4 linked regions of the Arabidopsis thaliana genome follow. The protein of the gene in region 4 interacts with the protein of the main gene of each other region in a pairwise test. Each region holds a gene or a part of one and is shown on either strand. Other genes may lie near its edges.

Region 1 (5,858 bases), on a different chromosome or scaffold from region 4:
CAGTTTCTTCAACCACTTGAATCCAGGCTTCTTCTCTTCGGTTTTGTTCTCCTTCTTCTTTTTGGTCTTATGCTTATCCAGGCCAAAGCATCCGTATGAGACCTTATCAGAGACGGGCTCTGAGTTCCTAGATGCCTGAAGCGAGTAGATGCGGTTCTGGAGAATGCAGACCTTGTGAAAGTGGTCATCTCTCATCTTAAGCACACACCTAGCAAGCCCAACAGCTTCGTTCTTCATGAACAATGCCTCAGTGGCTAGCTCTCTGTTCTCCTCCAAGAGAGAAGTGAGTTTGTAGCCAAGATTAGCGTTTTCCTCCACAGCCACTTCTTTCTCCATCTCCAGCAACATGACAAACTTCTTCAACAGCTCTATAGTCTTGGAGGCTTCATGAAACTGTTGGTCCTTGTGAAGTAACTCGTGTTTCAGAATCTCTTTGTCCAAGCTTGCTGTCACAAGTTGGGATACAAGCTCATCGACTTTCTCAGAAACCGCAGTAGGATCTTTCATCTGTTGAAAGGATAAGGTGCTCTCAACTTCAGAACTGACCTCACTAACGGAATCAATGTCCGAAATGCAGTCATCATCATCTTGGAGAAGCTGGTTCGGAAGAGAAGTAGTGGGTTTAAGTCTGGTCTGATGAGAAGAACGACCCAAGAGAGTGACGTAGCCGTTGTACAGGTCCAGACAAAGTGAGAGAAGCAAAGGTCGTCCCTGGTAAAACCATTCAGCTCGTTGAGCAAAGGTATCATCATCTCCTTGGCTTTCTTGAAAACCAGACTCACGCAGGATTTGCATCCGAGCTTCAAGGTCTGTTTCCAACATTTTTTCAGACAAGAAGTGATGAGAGAGAAAGACAAACAGAGCAAGAGAGAGAGAGAAAAAGGGGGTCCACTGTTTCTGTAGCATGCTTTGTGATTTGAAAATTTGAAAATGTGAAAAAGCTCCAAAAAGAGAGAGAGAGAGTGAGAAGAAATTTGAAAATGGAAAATGAAAGTACCAGAGAGAGATGGCAACTGTGGAGCTTCCATGGATGCTTTGTTCTTCATCTTCTTCAACCTGAAAGATATACTTGTTTTAGTTAGTGATTCGTATATAAAATTATAAAGGGAAAATGGGAATAATGGCATAGATGATGAAGACATTGATGGCTTTTCCAAGAAGATAATAAATGTTAAGAAAGGGATATTTTAGATCATCGAGATTAATGAAGGATCGGAGTGGGGAGAAGAAAGATACAAACCCAGAAATAGTGAGAGAGAGAAGATAGCTGACACGTTTGTTCAGTTGTATCAGTGCAGAGCATATAACAGGCAAAATCCGCCAAAGTTACAAGCATTTGATTTTGTTCCACTCATATTTTAACACGTGGCTTTAGTACTTGGGTTTGGTAGTTGCGGCCCATTGTTTGTTGGGCTTAATAACTCAAAGCCTTTAGGTTTTTGAGATTCTGACATCAAATTTAGAAAGCAAAAAGAGGGAGAGAGCATATTGGTTGGTGGTAAATGACAATTTTATATATCCAGAAGAGTTCATAAAGTTATGTCATCGAATAATGTTTTCATAAATAAATAAAAATGTGCGTTTTAGAAAATAATATTTATTTCATCGTCTTTTTCCATAAACGCGGATCTCTTTATTCACACTCTTAATTATTTTATCATATGAGACAATTGCATATAAAAAAAAAAAACCTGAACTGTGTGTTTGGTGAGAATTCCAGTTTATTCTTTTTCACTAATGCTCAGAAATCATCATTCTTATTTGGAAATATGCACTAAATAAAATACACAATGGACAAAGCTCTTGGATAAAGTTTTCAAAGTAACACAAGAGGCAGCTTCTTGAGGTTTTCTCTCTTCCAACTTTTTTGCTTTACTTACTACTGAGGTTTTCTATTCCTTTGGAAGCTTCGTTGATGGGTTCAACACAAGATCTAAAATGTAACATTTCTTTTCTTAAATTTCCTGCAAAGTTCGATGTAGTTCATGTTTTTTTTTTTCCATTCTTTTCCTTATAAAGTGTCGTCCACATTTGCTTGACGGGATACAAAACGAAACCCAAGTCTCTGTCTTCGTCTCCTTCTTTCTTCTTCTCTCTGTCATCATTTTGCTTTTTTTTCTTCTCCTACATGCCCTAGATTTTGGGTTTCTGAAATAAAAAATGGCTCACACTAGGACTTTCACTTCCAGAAACCGTAGCGTTTCTCTCTCAAACCCATCTTTCTCCATTGACGGATTTGACAACTCAACTGTGACTTTAGGCTACACGGGTCCTCTTCGAACCCAGAGAATAAGACCTCCTTTAGTGCAAATGAGTGGTCCTATTCACTCTACTCGCAGAACAGAACCTCTCTTCTCTCCTTCTCCTCAAGAATCTCCTGATTCCTCTTCTACCGTTGATGTTCCACCTGAAGATGATTTCGTCTTCAAAAACGCAAATCTCTTGAGATCTGGACAATTAGGGATGTGCAATGATCCTTACTGCACTACTTGCCCTTCTTACTACAACCGCCAAGCTGCTCAATTGCACACTTCCAGAGTTTCTGCCTCTAGGGTATGATATTTCTACTTACCTTGAGACTCAAGTAAACATTATACATAGCAGCTGACACAAGAGTATTTTACTTTCTTTTGTCTTGTTTAGTTTCGCACTGTTCTGTATGGTGATGCTAGAGGTTGGGCTAAGCGATTTGCCTCCTCTGTTCGTAGATGCTTACCCGGAATAATGAATCCTCATTCCAAATTTGTTCAAGTCTGGACTAGAGTCTTAGCCTTTTCAAGCTTAGTGGCCATTTTTATAGACCCTCTCTTCTTTTTCCTCTTATTGATCCAACAAGTATGTCTCCTTCTCTTGCTCTATCAATCTCCTTCTTGACTGTATACGTTTTCATGAGTTTGATACTGCAGGACAACAAATGCATAGCGATTGATTGGCGTGCGACTAAAGTATTGGTGTCTCTTAGAAGTATAACGGATCTTATATTCTTCATTAACATTCTGCTTCAGGTGTGTCTCCATTGCTCCTATCTCATATCTAAGGAAATTCATTGGCTTTAACGCTTCTTTGGTCTTATGTGTTGCAGTTTAGGTTGGCCTATGTAGCTCCTGAGTCTAGAATAGTTGGTGCCGGCCAGTTAGTTGATCATCCAAGAAAAATTGCTCGCCATTACTTCCGAGGAAAGTTTCTCCTTGACATGTTCATAGTCTTTCCCATTCCACAGATAATGATATTAAGGATAATACCATTACACTTAGGCACACGCAGGGAAGAATCTGAGAAACAGATTTTACGCGCTACGGTTCTTTTTCAATACATTCCAAAGTTATATAGACTCTTACCTCTTCTTGCTGGACAAACATCTACTGGCTTCATATTTGAGTCAGCTTGGGCTAATTTTGTTATTAATCTTCTCACCTTCATGCTTGCTGGTCACGCTGTTGGCTCTTGCTGGTATCTCTCTGCTCTGCAGGTATATAGTAGAAGATCAGTGTCTTTAAAGATTCTCTTCATATCTATCAAGTGATTTAAAGATTGTTTTTGTTGTATTGCTTTTTTCAGAGAGTTAAGAAATGCATGCTGAATGCTTGGAATATTTCTGCGGATGAACGTAGAAATCTTATCGATTGTGCTCGTGGAAGTTATGCATCGAAGTCACAACGAGATCTGTGGAGAGATAATGCTAGTGTCAATGCTTGTTTTCAAGAAAATGGTTATACCTATGGGATCTATTTGAAGGCAGTGAATCTTACCAATGAATCTAGTTTCTTCACAAGATTCAGTTATTCTCTGTATTGGGGATTCCAAGTAAGTTCATTTCAGGTTTGGTTGATGTTGCAGCTATTAGTCTTTGAATCACTCTTTAACTAATGTTGAAATGTTTTCAACTCTGAAAGCAAATAAGCACACTTGCTGGAAACTTATCCCCAAGTTACTCAGTGGGTGAGGTTTTCTTTACAATGGGTATCATTGGACTAGGGCTTTTGCTTTTTGCGCGGCTTATCGGTAACATGCACAACTTCCTTCAATCACTTGATCGAAGGTAAATCACATTTCATCAACAATGTTCTGAAAAGGGATGGTGAATTTCTTGGCTAATGCATGTTCTGTTTTAGGAGGATGGAAATGATGCTGAGAAAGCGTGATGTGGAGCAGTGGATGAGCCATAGACGTTTGCCAGAAGATATAAGAAAGTCTGTGCACTGTGGCATTTGATTTTCTCAGGCTGTGTAATGTGATATTCATAACTAATCAACTGTTCAACTTTTTCAGGAGGGTGAGAGAGGTTGAGCGGTACACTTGGGCTGCGACAAGAGGAGTTAACGAAGAATTGCTATTTGAGAACATGCCTGATGACCTTCAAAGAGATATAAGAAGACACCTCTTCAAATTTCTCAAGAAGGTAATAAGCAACAGCCTCATGACAGCATTAGTCAGTATTCATTTTGTGTACTCAGACTCCACAGTGTTGCAAAAAGCTAGTTCTGAATCCAAGTGTTAATGAGTTTGCAGGTGAGAATATTTTCGTTGATGGATGAATCAGTTTTAGATTCAATCAGAGAGAGGCTGAAACAGAGGACTTACATAAGGAGTAGCACGGTGTTGCATCACAGAGGTCTAGTAGAGAAAATGGTATTCATAGTGAGAGGTGAGATGGAGAGCATTGGAGAAGACGGTTCTGTTCTTCCTTTATCAGAAGGAGACGTTTGTGGTGAAGAACTTCTCACTTGGTGCCTCTCTTCTATAAACCCCGGTACTAATAACATTTGAGTGTTCATAACTCTTAATGTTTTTTGGTTAGAAACTTGGAACTTTGGAGCTGAATACGTTTTGAAACTTGCAGATGGGACGAGGATAAAGATGCCACCAAAGGGATTGGTTAGCAACAGAAATGTTAGGTGTGTGACAAACGTGGAGGCGTTTTCGCTGAGTGTAGCAGATCTTGAAGATGTAACAAGCTTGTTTTCAAGATTCTTAAGAAGCCATCGAGTGCAAGGAGCTATAAGGTACGAGTCTCCTTATTGGAGGTTACGAGCAGCTATGCAGATCCAAGTGGCTTGGAGATACCGAAAGAGACAACTCCAGAGATTAAACACTGCTCACTCCAATTCCAACCGTTAAATTTGATGATGATGTTTGGTTTGGTAGATTAGTAATTTTATTTTGAAGTATAAAGCTTAGTGATTCACTATAAAAGATGAATCGATGATTCATTCGTTGTAATCAATTCACTCATTAGTGTTTCTTAAGTATCTTTTTGCTGTTTTTCCAATCATACGGTATAATTTTACTTCAGGTCACTCGGCTTGAGTAACTTGGGCTCATAATTTCGGCCCATTCTAATTGATCTTAAATTAATAATTAATCAAGCCTGGATAATGAATGATTTTTGCCTTTTCGGTACTTCTTTACTGTAAGAAGTTAATTAAGACAAAGAAACGGAAACAGCCATGTAGTTAATGACATTTTGCCTCCAATAATTAGGGCCAATTAATTAGTTACAGTTGGTAATCAAATAAAGGAATTTTCGAATTCGTGAATATTCAAAAGGAAATAAATGTTAAAAACACAGAGGAGAGAGAAGCCTCACGGACACGAAATAATAAACAATGTAATAAAAGTCAGTGTTTGACTTTTCCAGACATGAGTTTTATTTACAATAATACACTTCCTTGACCTGGGCTACGAAGAAGAAGACCCCTGACTTGGTCATCATCTCCTTTCTTATTTCTTCTTCTTCTTATCAAAATTACTAAAACTCTCTGCTTCAACTTCCTTCTCCGCCTCAAATTTTCCCTTTATGCCTAGATTCTAGCCTTCTAGGGTCTTCTTGAAACCGTGATTTTGGTCAAGAAATGGCT
Region 2 (6,853 bases), on a different chromosome or scaffold from region 4:
TTGAGTTGGGTTTGGTTATTTGATATGTCAATAATCCAAATCATTTAGATATATTCAAGGAACTTAAAACACATTTAAGATATATAATTATTTTTTCATATATACGAATGCATAAGATAGTAAGCTAAGGATTGTTTTTGCATGTGACAGTGTTTAAATACGATTCAAAGATCGATTCGGTGTTACAAGTAACAAAAGAAAACTACGAAAAATGCAACACACAGAAGCCTTTGGAAGAACACAAAGACGGATACACAACAGTGAAACTCGACGTCTCAGGGCCTTACTACTTCATAAGTGGAGCTCCGAGTGGTAACTGTGCTAAAGGTGAGAAAGTGACTGTCGTGGTTCAGTCACCTAACCACCCAAAGCCAGGACCAGCCGCTGTTACGCCCACTCTTCCTCCAAAGCCATCTACTACTCCGGCTGCTCCAGCCCCAGCTCCACCCACTCCTTCTCCAAAGTCATCTACTTCTACGATGGCTCCGGCGCCAGCTCCGGCCAAGAGCAGTGCTGTTGGGTTGGTTGCTGGAAATGGCATCTTTTGGGCCTCGACTCTTGTTGCTGTCATTGGGCTTGCTTTCGCTTAAGGCTTTTAACAAAAGTTCTTGAAGTTTAAATTTCATGTTATGCATCCAAAATCTATGTTTTGCAGAATAATTATTATCTGAATTTACAATATGTCATATCTGACATTACTTATAATTTAATTTACAATTCTTTTGTTTCTGTCAACAATTTATTCTACAAATATAAAAAAAAATTAGTTTCCTAGCAATGTCAAATCTTCTTGGTACCTAAATATTTTATATTGATGTCTCATTATTTATTCAATTGGGTGATGAATGTTTTGATTTCAAGGTGAAATCCTTCACTTGTCTTGACTCTTGCAGAATACATTAATCGGAGTACATTTATTGATTCACGTAGCTTTCTTCATTTTCAGAATTCGGATTATATCTACAGATTACAGCTCATGTAGGTTAGAGTTATTGGAATAAAACGAATGTTAAATATAATAAGAGTATCAGAGCACCTCCAGTGGAGAGAGCCTCTCCAAGGACTCTCTCCATTTTTTTATGATTAAATTTCCAAAAAATTAACAAGAGAGCTTTGTGTTTTACTTTTTGTTAAAGTTTTCTTAAAAGAGTTCTCTGAAAAAAAAATGAATGATCTTGTTTTCAATAACTTGTGTCTTCTCCTTCATCCTCATCGCCCTTGTTTCCATCCTCGACTTTACTTTCACCATCTTCGATTTCTTCAATTTCCAAAACCAATACGAGATGGAATGCTCAGCTCCATGTCCTTGGACCTTGATCATCTCCATTGTATCAAAACCGACTATTACTTATGTAACTTATCACATCTTTATCTCTTTTCAAATGAATAGAGAAAACAACAATAGCAACTGTAAAGACTACACCATGCAGCAGAATCATTTAAACTAAAGAAACACATAGACATATACACAAGGATATATATATATATATATATAAAGCAGTGGCACCAACCTACATGACTACTATTGAAGCATGCTTATGTACGCTTTAGATTCAGAATATTGGAAGATTAGCCAAAAAAAAAGAAAAAGCAAGAGTAATAAGAAAGCAGCTTTAGCTACCGTTCCAGAAGAAAGCTAGGCTTAAAATGACTTAATGCATCCAGTTTTTAATGAATGATCTACAAAGGTTCATGATGTAATAAGATAATATACCTGAAAAGACAACATACCACATAATTATTATCCGAGGCAACAACAGTCTGCATTATGTCTTCATTTTCCTTTACTTGAAAGTATATATCTGCAGAGCATAAGCGTAATTCTATTAAATTATTCACAGTTATAAGCCAACTGAATAAATACAAAGCAAAAAACAAAAACTAAGAATTCTGGCCAAAGAATATTCTCATGAACTCCAATACCAAGTAAACCTGAGAGCATCTGGGTACCTTTTTTGTTCACCTGAACAAGACACTACGGGAAATGTCAGATCCGCAAAACCAAGTTCGGAAAAAACAAACAGGTAGAGTCAAAACCAGTATTCATCAATCTTAAATTCAATATTCAACATTGGTTTTACAATTGTTTTACCTGAATTTTTATCTTATGTTGAATTGAAAGATTAAACCACCAAATACAACATGTAATCACGATATACAAGCAAGAATGGCTTGATTCATACCTAATTTGGAGACTTCGGCAACGATTACTCTCCAAATCAGATTTGCTATTCTCCGATTGGGTTTCTCTTCCGCCGATGGTCTTCACCGTCTTTCGTTTTGATGAATCCGGCGTCTAGAAGCCTCAGATAACACAATTACACACAATCACGGCGTCAACTAATCGGAAATCAAGAGTTCACCGCCGGTTTCATTATCACGAGAGAGAGAGACAGAGAAAGAAAGTGATTATCTCTTTCGAACAAAAAAATGAAACGCTACTTTTTTTTTGTTTTGTTAAAACTTCACAACAAATCAATTAGCGACACCTGTCGCCTCTCTCGTTCCCTCAAAAACTCTCTTCAGAGAAACGCCTCTCTCAGTTTAATTCAATTTTGATTTATTTGTAATTCAAATTATCAAGAGAGCCCAACAAATATTGCATTAAAACCCTGCGTTGGAGATGCTCTCTTATAGCATCTATTATCAACCATAGTATCACATTTTTTTTGTGGACAAAGAACCATAATATAACATTTTGATACGTAAACAAATTATTTAATTCCATGCATGGCGTGGGACAACCTAATTATACATATAATTTATTTTTTTAAGTAGTAGATATTGAATCAAAGTAAAATATAGAAGCAGTGAAAATTATAGTTTGTAGTATATCCCTATATTTCTTACATGTAATGATTTAAAAGGAGACAGCACAGGAAGCGGGTGGGACCCGACTCGGACAGCAAGAAGAAGAAAGTCAATTTTTTGGACACAAGACAGAAGAAGACACCTTCACTTTCTTCTCTGCCCGTTTTTTAACAATTTGTGCTCTTCTTCTTCCGTTTCTTCTTCGCCGTCAGATTCGACTGTAACTGTAAGTTCTTCTTCTTCTTCATGTTCCTCCTGATCTCAGTCGCTGAGCTTGATTAGAGTTTGCAATTGTTTGACTTTGGATTCGATTTAGGCTATCTTAGAAATGAGTTTGGTTCGTTTTGTGTAGCTAAAGTTTCGATTTTTGTTTCTGGGTTTTAAATTTATCATCTTTTATGAATCTGGTGAAATGATAAATTAGCTCAAGTAACCTAATTTCAGAACCCAATCGCTTTGATTTGCAAAAAAAGAAAAACTCCTCCTTAGTTCCAATTAGGTAACTCCTAAAATTATAGCTGAAAAGGGTTCGCTAGTGATTCTCTTCTTGATGATAATTTGTCTCAAAAGCAGTTTTTTTAGGATTCATGAGTTAAAAGAGTATGTTCGATACTTGTGGCCCAAAAGGAGTCAAATCTCAAGTCATCAGTGGCCAACGCGAGAACTTTGTGAGGTATATATAACAATTTTTGAATCTCATGAAATTGTATGAATAGTATTAAGCTTTTTGAGTATTCCTGAATTCAAATAGGTTAGATAGTATGGACTCAAGGTACTCGCAAAGTTCCGAAACGGGTCTAAACAAATGCACATTGAATATACAAGGAGGACCTAAACGTTTTGCTCAAGGAAGCAAAGCATCATCTGGATCTTTTAAGAAAGGGTTTAGAAAAGGATCAGAGGGGCTTTGGTCTATAGGTCGATCGATTGGACTCGGTGTTTCGCGCGCTGTGTTTCCAGAAGATCTTGAAGTATCAGAGAAGAAGATATTTGATCCACAAGACAAGTTTCTTTTACTCTGCAACAAGTTGTTCGTCGCTTCGTGTATACTCGCAGTATCCGTTGATCCTCTCTTCTTGTATCTTCCTTTCATTAATGATAAAGCGAAATGTGTTGGTATAGATCGGAAACTGGCTATTATAGTAACTACAATAAGGACAGTTATAGATTCGTTTTATCTCTTTCATATGGCTCTACGGTTTAGAACAGCTTATGTTGCTCCCTCGTCACGGGTTTTTGGCCGCGGAGAGCTTGTTATAGACCCGGCGCAGATAGCTAAGCGGTATCTGCAACAGTATTTCATCATTGATTTACTTTCTGTTCTTCCGGTTCCACAGGTATAACAACAGAATGTGACATCAAACATCTCTACATTTCAAGATTTTGTTGGTTGATATTCATTTTTGTCTATTTTATTCAGATTATAGTTTGGAGATTCCTCTATACTTCGAGGGGTGCGAATGTACTGGCGACAAAACAAGCACTTAGATATATCGTTTTAGTTCAGTATATTCCGCGGTTTCTTCGAATGTATCCTTTAAGTTCAGAACTGAAGAGAACTGCCGGGGTATTCGCTGAAACTGCGTGGGCGGGTGCAGCGTACTACTTGTTGCTTTACATGCTCGCAAGTCATGTTAGCATCCAATTTTCTTGTACCATACTGTATCCGTTTTTATGTTCTCATAAGTTCATGTGTATGCAGATTGTTGGGGCTTTGTGGTATTTGCTTGCTTTAGAACGCAATAACGACTGTTGGAGTAAGGCTTGCCACAATAACCAGAACTGTACTAGAAACTTCTTGTTTTGTGGTAACCAAAATATGAAAGGTTATGCTGCTTGGGACAATATTAAAGTTTCGTATCTTCAACTAAAGTGCCCTGTCAATGTCCCCGAAGATGAAGAACCTCCTTTTGATTTTGGAATCTACTTAAGAGCACTCTCCTCTGGCATCGTCTCGTCTAAGAACTTTGTCTCTAAGTACTTCTTCTGTTTGTGGTGGGGACTACAGAATCTTAGGTAATACAAAGGATTTTATTTTGTTATATTGTCAATGCGATGAGTCTCTTTCGTATTAGTAACCTCGATAATCCTTTTGCAGTACACTTGGTCAAGGGCTTGAAACCAGCACATATCCTGGAGAGGTTATATTCTCTATAACACTTGCTATTGCTGGACTTCTACTATTTGCACTTCTCATTGGAAACATGCAGGTAAATAAGGGACCTTGTTAGTGTTTTTTGTGTTTATACACTTGTTATCGCTAGTGAGTATGAAAAACGATGTGATGTTTTTGATAAATTCTTGACAGACTTATCTTCAATCGCTTACCATTCGGTTAGAAGAAATGCGAGTAAAAAGACGTGACTCAGAACAGTGGATGCATCATCGAATGCTTCCACCAGAACTGCGGGAACGGGTTAGACGATATGACCAGTACAAGTGGTTGGAGACGCGTGGAGTTGATGAAGAGAATCTTGTTCAGAATCTCCCAAAGGATCTTAGAAGAGATATCAAACGTCATCTCTGTCTCGCGTTAGTCCGAAGAGTAAGTTTCTTTTCGTAATTCACTCGATTTAACATCTTCGTAAAAGTCTTTTTAAATCCGTTTTCTTTTTCCTATGGCAAAGGTTCCATTGTTTGAGAATATGGATGAGAGGCTGTTAGATGCAATCTGTGAGAGGCTTAAGCCATGTCTGTTCACTGAGAAGTCGTACTTGGTTCGTGAGGGAGATCCAGTCAACGAGATGCTCTTCATTATCCGTGGTAGGCTCGAAAGTGTAACCACTGATGGCGGTAGAAGCGGATTCTACAACCGGAGTTTACTTAAAGAAGGAGATTTCTGCGGTGACGAGCTTTTGACATGGGCGCTTGATCCCAAATCCGGTTCTAACCTCCCTTCCTCTACAAGAACCGTGAAGGCCTTAACCGAAGTGGAAGCTTTCGCTCTGATAGCCGATGAGCTGAAATTCGTGGCAAGCCAGTTCAGGAGACTCCATAGCAGACAAGTACAACACACGTTCAGATTCTATTCACAGCAATGGAGGACTTGGGCCGCTTGCTTCATGCAAGCAGCATGGCGACGGTACATAAAGAGGAAGAAATTGGAGCAACTTAGAAAAGAAGAGGAAGAAGAAGAAGCGGCAGCAGCATCAGTTATAGCAGGAGGAAGTCCTTATAGCATAAGAGCAACGTTCTTGGCTTCAAAGTTTGCGGCAAATGCACTTCGTAGCGTTCACAAGAACCGGACCGCGAAATCAACATTGTTGTTGTCATCTACTAAAGAATTGGTGAAATTTCAGAAACCTCCAGAACCAGATTTCTCTGCTGAAGATCACTGATCCAATATCGCATACGCAAGAATTCTTTTTCTTTTTAACTTGTACACAATCTCTAAGAATGCTCCAAATTTTTTTGTTGTTGTTTAAACACTTACTGTAATATAAATGATTATTTGTGATCGTTCTTAATCTTGTTATTACATAGAAATGTTTTTTAAGATTTTCAAACCAATTCTACAGGTTTTGTTCATTGTTTAAACTTGCTCGGATCTTCCTTTGAGAAAGTTTTTGCAGAGAGTCTGCCATTGCTTCCGATCTGGTTCCGCGTTTTCCATCGTTGCCTTCGCCTTATCCGCAAAATCTTGCTGAGAAAACAAACAAAGAAACATCAAGAAAGCTTCCAACAAGTAACACTAAAGACGATGGAATAAAGATATAAGAAGCAAACCTCCATCAACTTCAAATTGACGACACGATCAATGATCTCGAAAAGAATCTCTTTGTTGTACTCAGGATGGCCTTGGATGCCTAGCAAGTGGTTTCCATACGAACACATCTCAACGTTGTATTTGTCTGAATAAGCAAGCAATGTGGCTGATTCAGGGAGTTCAAGAACTTCATCTTGATGGCATTTTATAATGGCTAGTGATTTCGGAATCTGGCTTCCAAAGTAACCACCTGGCTTCACCGCGTCTGTAACCATTGTTATGCTTCTTAGTCCCATATCCAAACCTCTACTCGCCCTTCCGACTTTCCCTCCTTTG
Region 3 (4,754 bases), on a different chromosome or scaffold from region 4:
GTGAATATTACAAACGCGTTACGCGTAAAATGTGAATATAGTACTAGATTATATTGTTTTCGTGATTCCTTTTTGCTGTCAATGGAATTTATACCAATAAGCTAGAAACCAAATTCGAACTTATATTGGTATCACCACTAAAGGACATTGACTTTTTGTTGTAAGATCTCATATTACCATCTCTAAAGTATAAAAATTCAAATAAACATCAAACCCATGGTCTGACCTAATTAAACAAATAAAGTTAGGCGATTTATCAAACCTCCCACATGTTTAGACTAGCTTTAGAATAGCCCTAGCTTGGGTTAATTTTGTTGAAAACTAGAATCCACTAGCCCTAGCTTGGGTTAATTACGTTGAATACTACAGCTTGATCAGCATTGTTTCTAGATTACCTTTTTTTTTTTTTTTTCAATTGTACATAGGATTTACTTATATTTTCGAATGGATACATGAAACAAGAATACTTCATCATATATGTTTATATTTTTTAAAAAATCAGATTTTATAGACAATTCTATTTTGACTATTCAGGATATTATTAAATACAGTTTTCATTTTCTTTATCTATCTTGTTTTTATTTTTTGACTGAAGGACTTGTCAGTAACAAAAGTAAAACAACAGGTTTGTTATATCTTGTTTTTTTTTGTCTCCCCCAAATGATTTTCAGAAATAAAAATATTTGTGAGTGGCACTCATACGTAATTAAGAGGCAGGGAATGGGGCATAACTGGCAGTAAGAAACAAAAGAAGAAAAATAGTAAAAGTCAAAAGTCGACCCATCAGTCACTCTCTAACGCGTTAGTCAATGGGAACCGGCAAATGGAGACCGAGACGCCACTCGCCGAACCGGCAATTATGGGTAACCGCCACCGGTTTACTTCTCTAAAGTTCTGACTTTCCTTAATTATTGCAACACGAATTTTGAAATGGCCAATTAATACATGCTCTGTTCGGTTTTGTTTGTACTAGTCAACTATTAGCGACCGAATTATTGACTATTCAATAGTTCAACGTTAAATTATTAAGGACAATTCAAAACTATTCCTTTCATATTCAACATTTTTATTTAGAGACAAAATCACCAATCCATAATTTAATTTATTTATTTATTAATCATTTAAGCGGTTCGAAAACTATATCACTAAAATCAATTGGTAAACCAATAAATTACAAAACGATCATGATTTACTAGAGCTTCTCGTTTTTGAGGTTGAAGACTGTTGGTCTCCCAAAAAAAAAAAATCAATTTACCCCAAAACTATTTTTATTTTGCATTAATTAATTATTATCATAAAACTTTATTAACACCATAAATTGCATTTGGTGCTTCAAAAAATAAAATAGTATTTATTTACTTAATTCCTTACCAAATATTTTATATCCAAGTTGTGGAGGTCATAAAATTGGCCCAACAAGTACAAATTAGGAAACCCACTAATATTTAAAGCCCAATAGGTCCACTCAATTTTGCAATTTCTTAAAACGTGTTGTTAACAAGAACACATTTTATGGTCCAGTGGTCACCGCCACCAACTTCTCGACTTCGAGAGAGACAAGAGTAATCCAACGATCTGGTTGATAGTGGTAACACTGTTCCAATGAGCATTTTTTGGCATATCCCTCAATATATCTTTATTGGGAACATCTAGCGTTTTGTTCTTTCTTAGTCGGCTTGATTTTTTCTATGAACAATCTCTAGATGCAAAATTTGTGTAGTGCTTGGACTCTTCACTCGGCTCATTGATTCTTACACTTGTTGCATATTTCACGACAATGAACCTTAGTAACGGTCATCTTGATTACTATTTTTGGCTTTTGGTCTGTCTTGGCTTTGTTAATTTACCGGTTTGGCTAGAAAGGTTTCGTAAGATTTGTTTGATGTCTTCTTTAAAACTTGAAGTCTCTAACTTGTTTGATAACTTTTGTTGTGTTAGGGGAAAAGTGTGCTATGGCTCAAAATTTGCTTAATGCTTAAGTCTAATCAGATTAATAAAGTTTGTGTGGTTTTATATTCCCTCTTTTTTTTTATAACATTTTTTAAAGAATGTGGTTCTGTGGTGAGTGACCACTCACACCACCAACAACAACTTGGTCAGTGGGAGGATCATTTTATTTGATCCTTCGTTGAGAAGCTTAAATCAGCTTTACGTGAAAATTGTCATGTTGAGGAGAAAGTAAAAAATGGCTTCCATTGATGAAGAAAGGTCACTTCTTGAAGTTGAAGAATCTCTTATACAGGTTCAACCTCATTGTCATTGTTTCTTTAGTGTTTTGGGGTCTAAATCTTTGTTGACTAATTCGTTTTTCTCCAGGAAGAAGTAAAATTATATGCTGAAGATGGTTCAATAGATATTCATGGAAACCCACCATTGAAGCAGACAACAGGAAACTGGAAAGCTTGTCCATTCATTTTTGGTAAACACTTTGTTTTATTTCACTTGTAATGTACTTGTTGTATTCTCTCATGTTCTGTCTTTAATCTCCAAAAACTGATATCTATGCTTTGGTTGGTGCAGCAAACGAATGCTGCGAACGGTTGGCTTATTATGGAATTGCCAAGAATCTCATCACGTACTTCACAAATGAATTGCATGAGACTAATGTTTCTGCTGCTAGACACGTCATGACATGGCAAGGAACATGTTACATCACTCCTCTTATTGGAGCTTTAATAGCTGATGCTTACTGGGGAAGATATTGGACTATTGCTTGTTTCTCTGCCATTTATTTCACCGTAAGCATTTTCTTGAAAAATAACTTTGCTTTATGTTCTGTTCTTGGCTTGATGTTCTGTTCTTTGATGTTGTTTTAAGGGAATGGTTGCATTGACACTCTCAGCTTCAGTTCCGGGTCTTAAGCCAGCGGAATGCATTGGCTCTCTATGTCCACCAGCAACAATGGTTCAGTCTACGGTTTTATTTTCAGGGCTTTACCTTATCGCTCTTGGCACTGGAGGAATCAAACCATGTGTCTCATCCTTTGGTGCTGATCAGTTTGATAAGACCGATCCAAGCGAACGAGTCAGAAAAGCTTCTTTCTTTAACTGGTTTTACTTCACTATCAACATTGGTGCTTTTGTTTCATCTACTGTTCTAGTTTGGATTCAAGAGAATTATGGATGGGAATTAGGATTCTTGATACCTACCGTGTTCATGGGACTTGCTACTATGAGTTTCTTCTTTGGCACGCCGCTTTATAGATTTCAGAAACCGAGAGGTAGCCCGATTACTAGCGTCTGCCAAGTTCTTGTAGCCGCATACCGTAAATCGAATCTCAAGGTCCCTGAAGACTCCACGGACGGTTACAAGAAAATCTTTTTCCCTCTCATTTCTTGTTTGAATTGAGCATTAGTCTATTAACGGTTAAATAAACGGGTTGTGATATCAATGTACAGGTTTCTTGACAAAGCGGCAATTATATCAGAAGGAGATGCAAACACTAACCCGTGGAAGCTATGTACCGTGACTCAAGTCGAAGAAGTTAAGATTCTGTTACGTTTGGTCCCCATTTGGGCCTCAGGAATCATCTTCTCAGTTCTCCATTCACAGATTTACACTCTCTTTGTTCAACAAGGACGGTGCATGAAACGAACCATCGGCTTATTCGAAATCCCTCCCGCAACTCTCGGGATGTTCGACACTGCAAGTGTTCTCATATCTGTCCCAATCTATGACCGCGTCATCGTTCCCTTAGTGAGACGGTTCACAGGCTTAGCTAAAGGATTCACCGAGCTACAAAGAATGGGGATTGGTCTTTTTGTCTCTGTTTTGAGCTTGACATTTGCAGCTATCGTTGAGACGGTTCGGTTACAGTTAGCTAGAGATCTTGATCTAGTGGAAAGTGGAGACATTGTTCCATTAAACATCTTTTGGCAAATCCCTCAGTACTTTTTAATGGGCACTGCTGGAGTTTTCTTCTTTGTTGGGAGGATTGAGTTTTTCTATGAGCAATCTCCAGATTCAATGAGAAGCTTGTGTAGTGCTTGGGCTCTTCTCACTACTACACTAGGAAACTACTTGAGCTCGTTGATCATTACCCTTGTGGCGTATTTGAGCGGAAAAGATTGTTGGATTCCTTCAGACAACATTAACAATGGACATCTTGATTACTTCTTCTGGCTTTTGGTCAGTCTTGGATCTGTTAACATACCTGTTTTTGTCTTCTTCTCTGTGAAATATACTCATATGAAGGTTTGATCTCTTCTTCTGGCTCTTGTGTGTACTTTCAAAATTGTTTTTTTTTAAACCAGCAAATCAGTTATATTAAATCATAACGGTTTACATGATACATACAACAACCATTCAAATATAACTATTGAAACAAATAAAGGAAATTGAACACAATTTTGATGAAGAAGTGTAAGTGACCCTGCTTTCGAAACGGAAGCCTTACAGGCAACAAAATAAATCTGTTAAGTCCTCTCATCATACACTCGCAAAAAGCTAACATCTTATAGATGAAACTCCTAAATGCTTTCTGCATTACTTTAATAAAACGAAGAATTTGGTAAGTTGCTCGAAATGGTTCTGAATCATGCTTTTTGAAACGCTCTGCACCGGTTAATGACTATGGATTTTCCTTTTACAAGACTCACTAACGGATTCAATCCATTAGTTTTCATTTTCTCTTGCGCCAATTTGTCAAATCTTCGAAGACATAATATTCCCGGAACCCATATTCGTCGACCGAAGCACCAGTTGTGAGGAAGAGTCGCTACGAGCCTCATTTGATCTTCGGCTAAAACCTCTTG
Region 4 (3,058 bases):
AAACTTTAGTGGACATCTATTCAACGCAATTTCTCAATAATTTATTCGGATGAATATCGGAATTGAGTAGATAGGGATCGGTCGTCGGTTCCTCCATTTTCAAAACCCTAAGAACAACCAAAGTCTTCATCATTTATTTGTCCAATTCCAATGATCTATTTCGTCCAAACGGCTAAGATTGAAGGAGTCTTCGTGAAATATTTGTTGTCTAATTTAGTTTAATGTTTTATCACCACACACATTGACACCGCATTAAACTCTAACAAGTTTTTCAAACACGTTTGTTCATCACCAGGTTTTTCTTTAAAATTATTGTGTATTACTTATCATATACAATGAAAATTATTGTTATACCGTATAACACATAAAAATTTCTTAAACTACATTGACTACTTTAATAAATAAATAAAACACATTACATCTCATATTATAAGAATACTTTTTTTAGTTGTTACATTTGTTTTTATAAATCCTCCATAGTTGTTTTAAAGTTTAATATGATTGAGTTGCGATCTAGTATTATTATTCTTTATTAAATATGCTTGACCTTTCTCATTGAAGAAAGATGTAAACATTTGAAAGCATGGCTTCACCTAATCTTCCTTTCAATTACAGGTCACATCATCCAACTCTAAACACCAACCTCCCTTAGTTTTCCTTGCTTTTAGCATTATAACATTAACAAGTCTTTGCAATGTTTAATTTTCTTTGAATTTGAGAAATCTTTCACATTAAACATTTTCATTAATTGATAATTAATTAAATAACCTTTATCAGTAGAACTGTTCTCATAGTTATAAAATAAACATTTGGAAAACCCCACCTCAGTTTCAACTTGCAACCTATAGATCAAAGTTATTTCATTTCATCATGTTATATATATAATGTCGAAATTCTTGACCGGGACTGGTTTGTCTTTTTCTAACTTTGTATAGGCTTATTGATATTTTGGCCACATTTTCTATTTTTGTTCTCAAAAGTCTTTCGTCAAGTTTAAGAAACAATGGCTATATTAGAGCAGTCGCTTTTGGGGAAGTTTCTCGGAAGCTTAGTTACATTGTAAAAATGACTATTCACAATTCACAAACTAACTACCGCACTAAGTATCATCACATTCTCACATGTCTTATATAATAAAAGAATATATAAATAAATATCTACATATGGATATTCTTGTATGCGATCGGCACTAACCTCATTAATCACCAAATCATGTATATATGGATTCAAGAAATAATCTCATTAAGCTTAACCAAAGTATACATAGTCAAATTGAAGAAGAAACCATATAGTAAAATTTAAGAAACAATCTTTAATGTATATCAAACTGTTAATCCTAAATATCTAATAACAATCTCGCAAGTAACCTCTACTTAAATCAAATTTTCATCGAACAATATTAAACCGACGCGTCACCTTTGACTTTGAAAAAACAAAACCGCGTCAAATTAAATCGTTTTATCTAATACACGTTATCTCTACAGTGTATATATATTACGGCCTCTTCTTCTTCACTTCAAATCATATTTACTTTTTCAAAATCTTATCACAAACCAAAAAAAACTTTCTTTCAAAATCGTTCTCTGAGGCATTTTAACGAACAGATGGCGGACTTAAACGGTGCGTATTACGGACCATCGATTCCACCGCCGAAGAAAGTCTCTCACAGCCACGGCAGACGCGGCGGTGGATGCGGTTGTTTAGGTGACTGTCTTGGCTGCTGCGGCTGCTGTATCTTAAGCGTCATCTTCAACATCCTCATAACCATAGCCGTCTTATTAGGCATAGCTGCTCTAATCATCTGGCTCATTTTCAGACCCAACGCTATCAAATTCCACGTCACCGACGCTAAACTCACCGAATTCACACTCGACCCAACCAACAACCTCCGATACAATCTCGATCTCAATTTCACAATCCGTAACCCTAACCGCCGGATCGGTGTTTACTATGATGAAATCGAAGTCAGAGGATACTACGGTGATCAGCGATTCGGTATGAGTAACAACATCTCGAAGTTTTACCAGGGACATAAGAACACGACGGTGGTTGGAACTAAACTCGTGGGACAGCAATTGGTGCTGCTTGACGGCGGAGAGAGGAAGGATTTGAACGAGGATGTGAATTCTCAGATCTATAGGATCGATGCCAAGCTGAGACTTAAGATTAGGTTTAAGTTTGGGTTGATCAAGTCGTGGAGGTTCAAGCCCAAGATCAAGTGCGATCTCAAGGTTCCTCTTACCTCTAATTCAACCAGCGGGTTTGTTTTTCAGCCGACCAAGTGTGACGTTGACTTTTGATTGCTAGTCAAGAGTCAATGCTATTATAGTCTTCTTCGAGTTCATCATATTACACTTGTTTATTGATTCTTATTTTAGATTGTTTTGCTTTATTATCTTCCATACATATCGTTGGAGAGAGATATTTTTCTTATGTAATGTTTTATTGTATGGTTCCATGTAAATAAATAATCACATTTTGTTTAATGCTAATAACTATACAATTAGCATTATGATTGTCTCATGAAGCATTGATCCAAGTATCAAAAATGCGGAATCTTCTGCTTTCCCACTGATCCATTTTGTGTTTGTAGAATGAGAACAAGCAACATTGTACCCATGGAGGATTTCTTGGCACTTTCTCCATCTCTTCACCTCCCAACAATCTATTCAGCTTCTTGACTAGAGCCTCTTCATCAGATTCGTCACACCCGAAAAACTTTTCCTGTAAAAAGATATACAGATATAAGTATTAGACAATCCTTCAATGAACACTAATAATTAATCGTGTTTTACTTACCCCTTCATCAGCATATAGAGAAGCATGGATTCTGGCGGTTGCATCTTCTAGTATAGCTACCAATTTGATATTTCCGTTGATATCACGGAGTTTTCTGACGTCTCGGGGATACACTTGTATGAACCGAACAACACACCTGAATTTAGCAGTCACCTGCATAATAAGCATCAGTAAAACATCAATTCAAGAAAGTTTTCACTATACTCTTTTCCTACAACTTATGATAAATCCAAGGTTTTTGGATACATTACATTGTGAT

Evidence for each region.
Region 1: the proteins of NHL3 (region 4) and CNGC19 interact in a protein complementation assay, tested with the Arabidopsis thaliana proteins (one large-scale study listed by BioGRID).
Region 2: the proteins of NHL3 (region 4) and CNGC6 interact in a protein complementation assay, tested with the Arabidopsis thaliana proteins (one large-scale study listed by BioGRID).
Region 3: the proteins of NHL3 (region 4) and PTR4 interact in a protein complementation assay, tested with the Arabidopsis thaliana proteins (one large-scale study listed by BioGRID).

What each region holds. Positions count from the first base shown.
Region 1 is NC_003074.8:6,043,222-6,049,079, forward strand, and holds CNGC19 (cyclic nucleotide gated channel 19), read left to right. Parts: upstream 1-1,780; 5' UTR 1,781-2,160; coding exon 2,161-2,553; intron 2,554-2,643; coding exon 2,644-2,835; intron 2,836-2,906; coding exon 2,907-3,005; intron 3,006-3,082; coding exon 3,083-3,469; intron 3,470-3,558; coding exon 3,559-3,804; intron 3,805-3,893; coding exon 3,894-4,039; intron 4,040-4,112; coding exon 4,113-4,190; coding exon of another isoform or gene 4,191-4,212; exon of another isoform or gene 4,213-4,229; intron 4,230-4,269; coding exon 4,270-4,399; intron 4,400-4,509; coding exon 4,510-4,750; coding exon of another isoform or gene 4,751-4,767; exon of another isoform or gene 4,768-4,840; coding exon 4,841-5,118; 3' UTR 5,119-5,308; downstream 5,309-5,858. Other genes in the region: AT3G17680 (Kinase interacting (KIP1-like) family protein), read right to left, coding at 1-941, 998-1,046; CNBT1 (cyclic nucleotide-binding transporter 1), read left to right, coding at 5,853-5,858. UniProt on the Arabidopsis thaliana protein: Putative cyclic nucleotide-gated ion channel.
Region 2 is NC_003071.7:10,200,572-10,207,424, reverse strand, and holds CNGC6 (cyclic nucleotide-gated channel 6), read left to right. Parts: upstream 1-2,002; 5' UTR 2,003-2,024; exon of another isoform or gene 2,025-2,182; coding exon of another isoform or gene 2,183-2,300; exon of another isoform or gene 2,301-2,623; intron 2,624-2,867; 5' UTR 2,868-3,037; exon of another isoform or gene 3,038-3,384; 5' UTR 3,385-3,413; coding exon 3,414-3,484; exon of another isoform or gene 3,485-3,562; coding exon 3,563-4,148; intron 4,149-4,231; coding exon 4,232-4,827; intron 4,828-4,909; coding exon 4,910-5,021; intron 5,022-5,119; coding exon 5,120-5,356; intron 5,357-5,438; coding exon 5,439-6,149; 3' UTR 6,150-6,321; downstream 6,322-6,853. Other genes in the region: ENODL11 (early nodulin-like protein 11), read left to right, coding at 151-590; AT2G23985 (uncharacterized protein), read right to left, coding at 1,142-1,321, 1,732-1,802, 1,924-1,942; AT2G23987 (uncharacterized protein), read left to right, coding at 1,166-1,310, 1,730-1,802, 1,951-1,974, 2,183-2,300; AT2G23970 (Class I glutamine amidotransferase-like superfamily protein), read right to left, coding at 6,344-6,454, 6,538-6,853. UniProt on the Arabidopsis thaliana protein: Probable cyclic nucleotide-gated ion channel.
Region 3 is NC_003071.7:476,932-481,685, forward strand, and holds PTR4 (Major facilitator superfamily protein), read left to right. Parts: upstream 1-2,045; 5' UTR 2,046-2,185; coding exon 2,186-2,242; intron 2,243-2,316; coding exon 2,317-2,419; intron 2,420-2,520; coding exon 2,521-2,738; intron 2,739-2,817; coding exon 2,818-3,304; intron 3,305-3,398; coding exon of another isoform or gene 3,399-3,427; coding exon 3,428-4,200; 3' UTR 4,201-4,254; downstream 4,255-4,754. Other genes in the region: AT2G02023 (uncharacterized protein), read right to left, coding at 4,536-4,754.
Region 4 is NC_003076.8:1,930,258-1,933,315, reverse strand, and holds NHL3 (NDR1/HIN1-like 3), read left to right. Parts: upstream 1-1,547; 5' UTR 1,548-1,604; coding exon 1,605-2,300; 3' UTR 2,301-2,520; downstream 2,521-3,058. Other genes in the region: AtPOT1b (Nucleic acid-binding, OB-fold-like protein), read right to left, coding at 2,521-2,724, 2,800-2,952, 3,051-3,058. UniProt on the Arabidopsis thaliana protein: Confers resistance to Pseudomonas syringae pv. tomato DC3000 (Pst DC3000).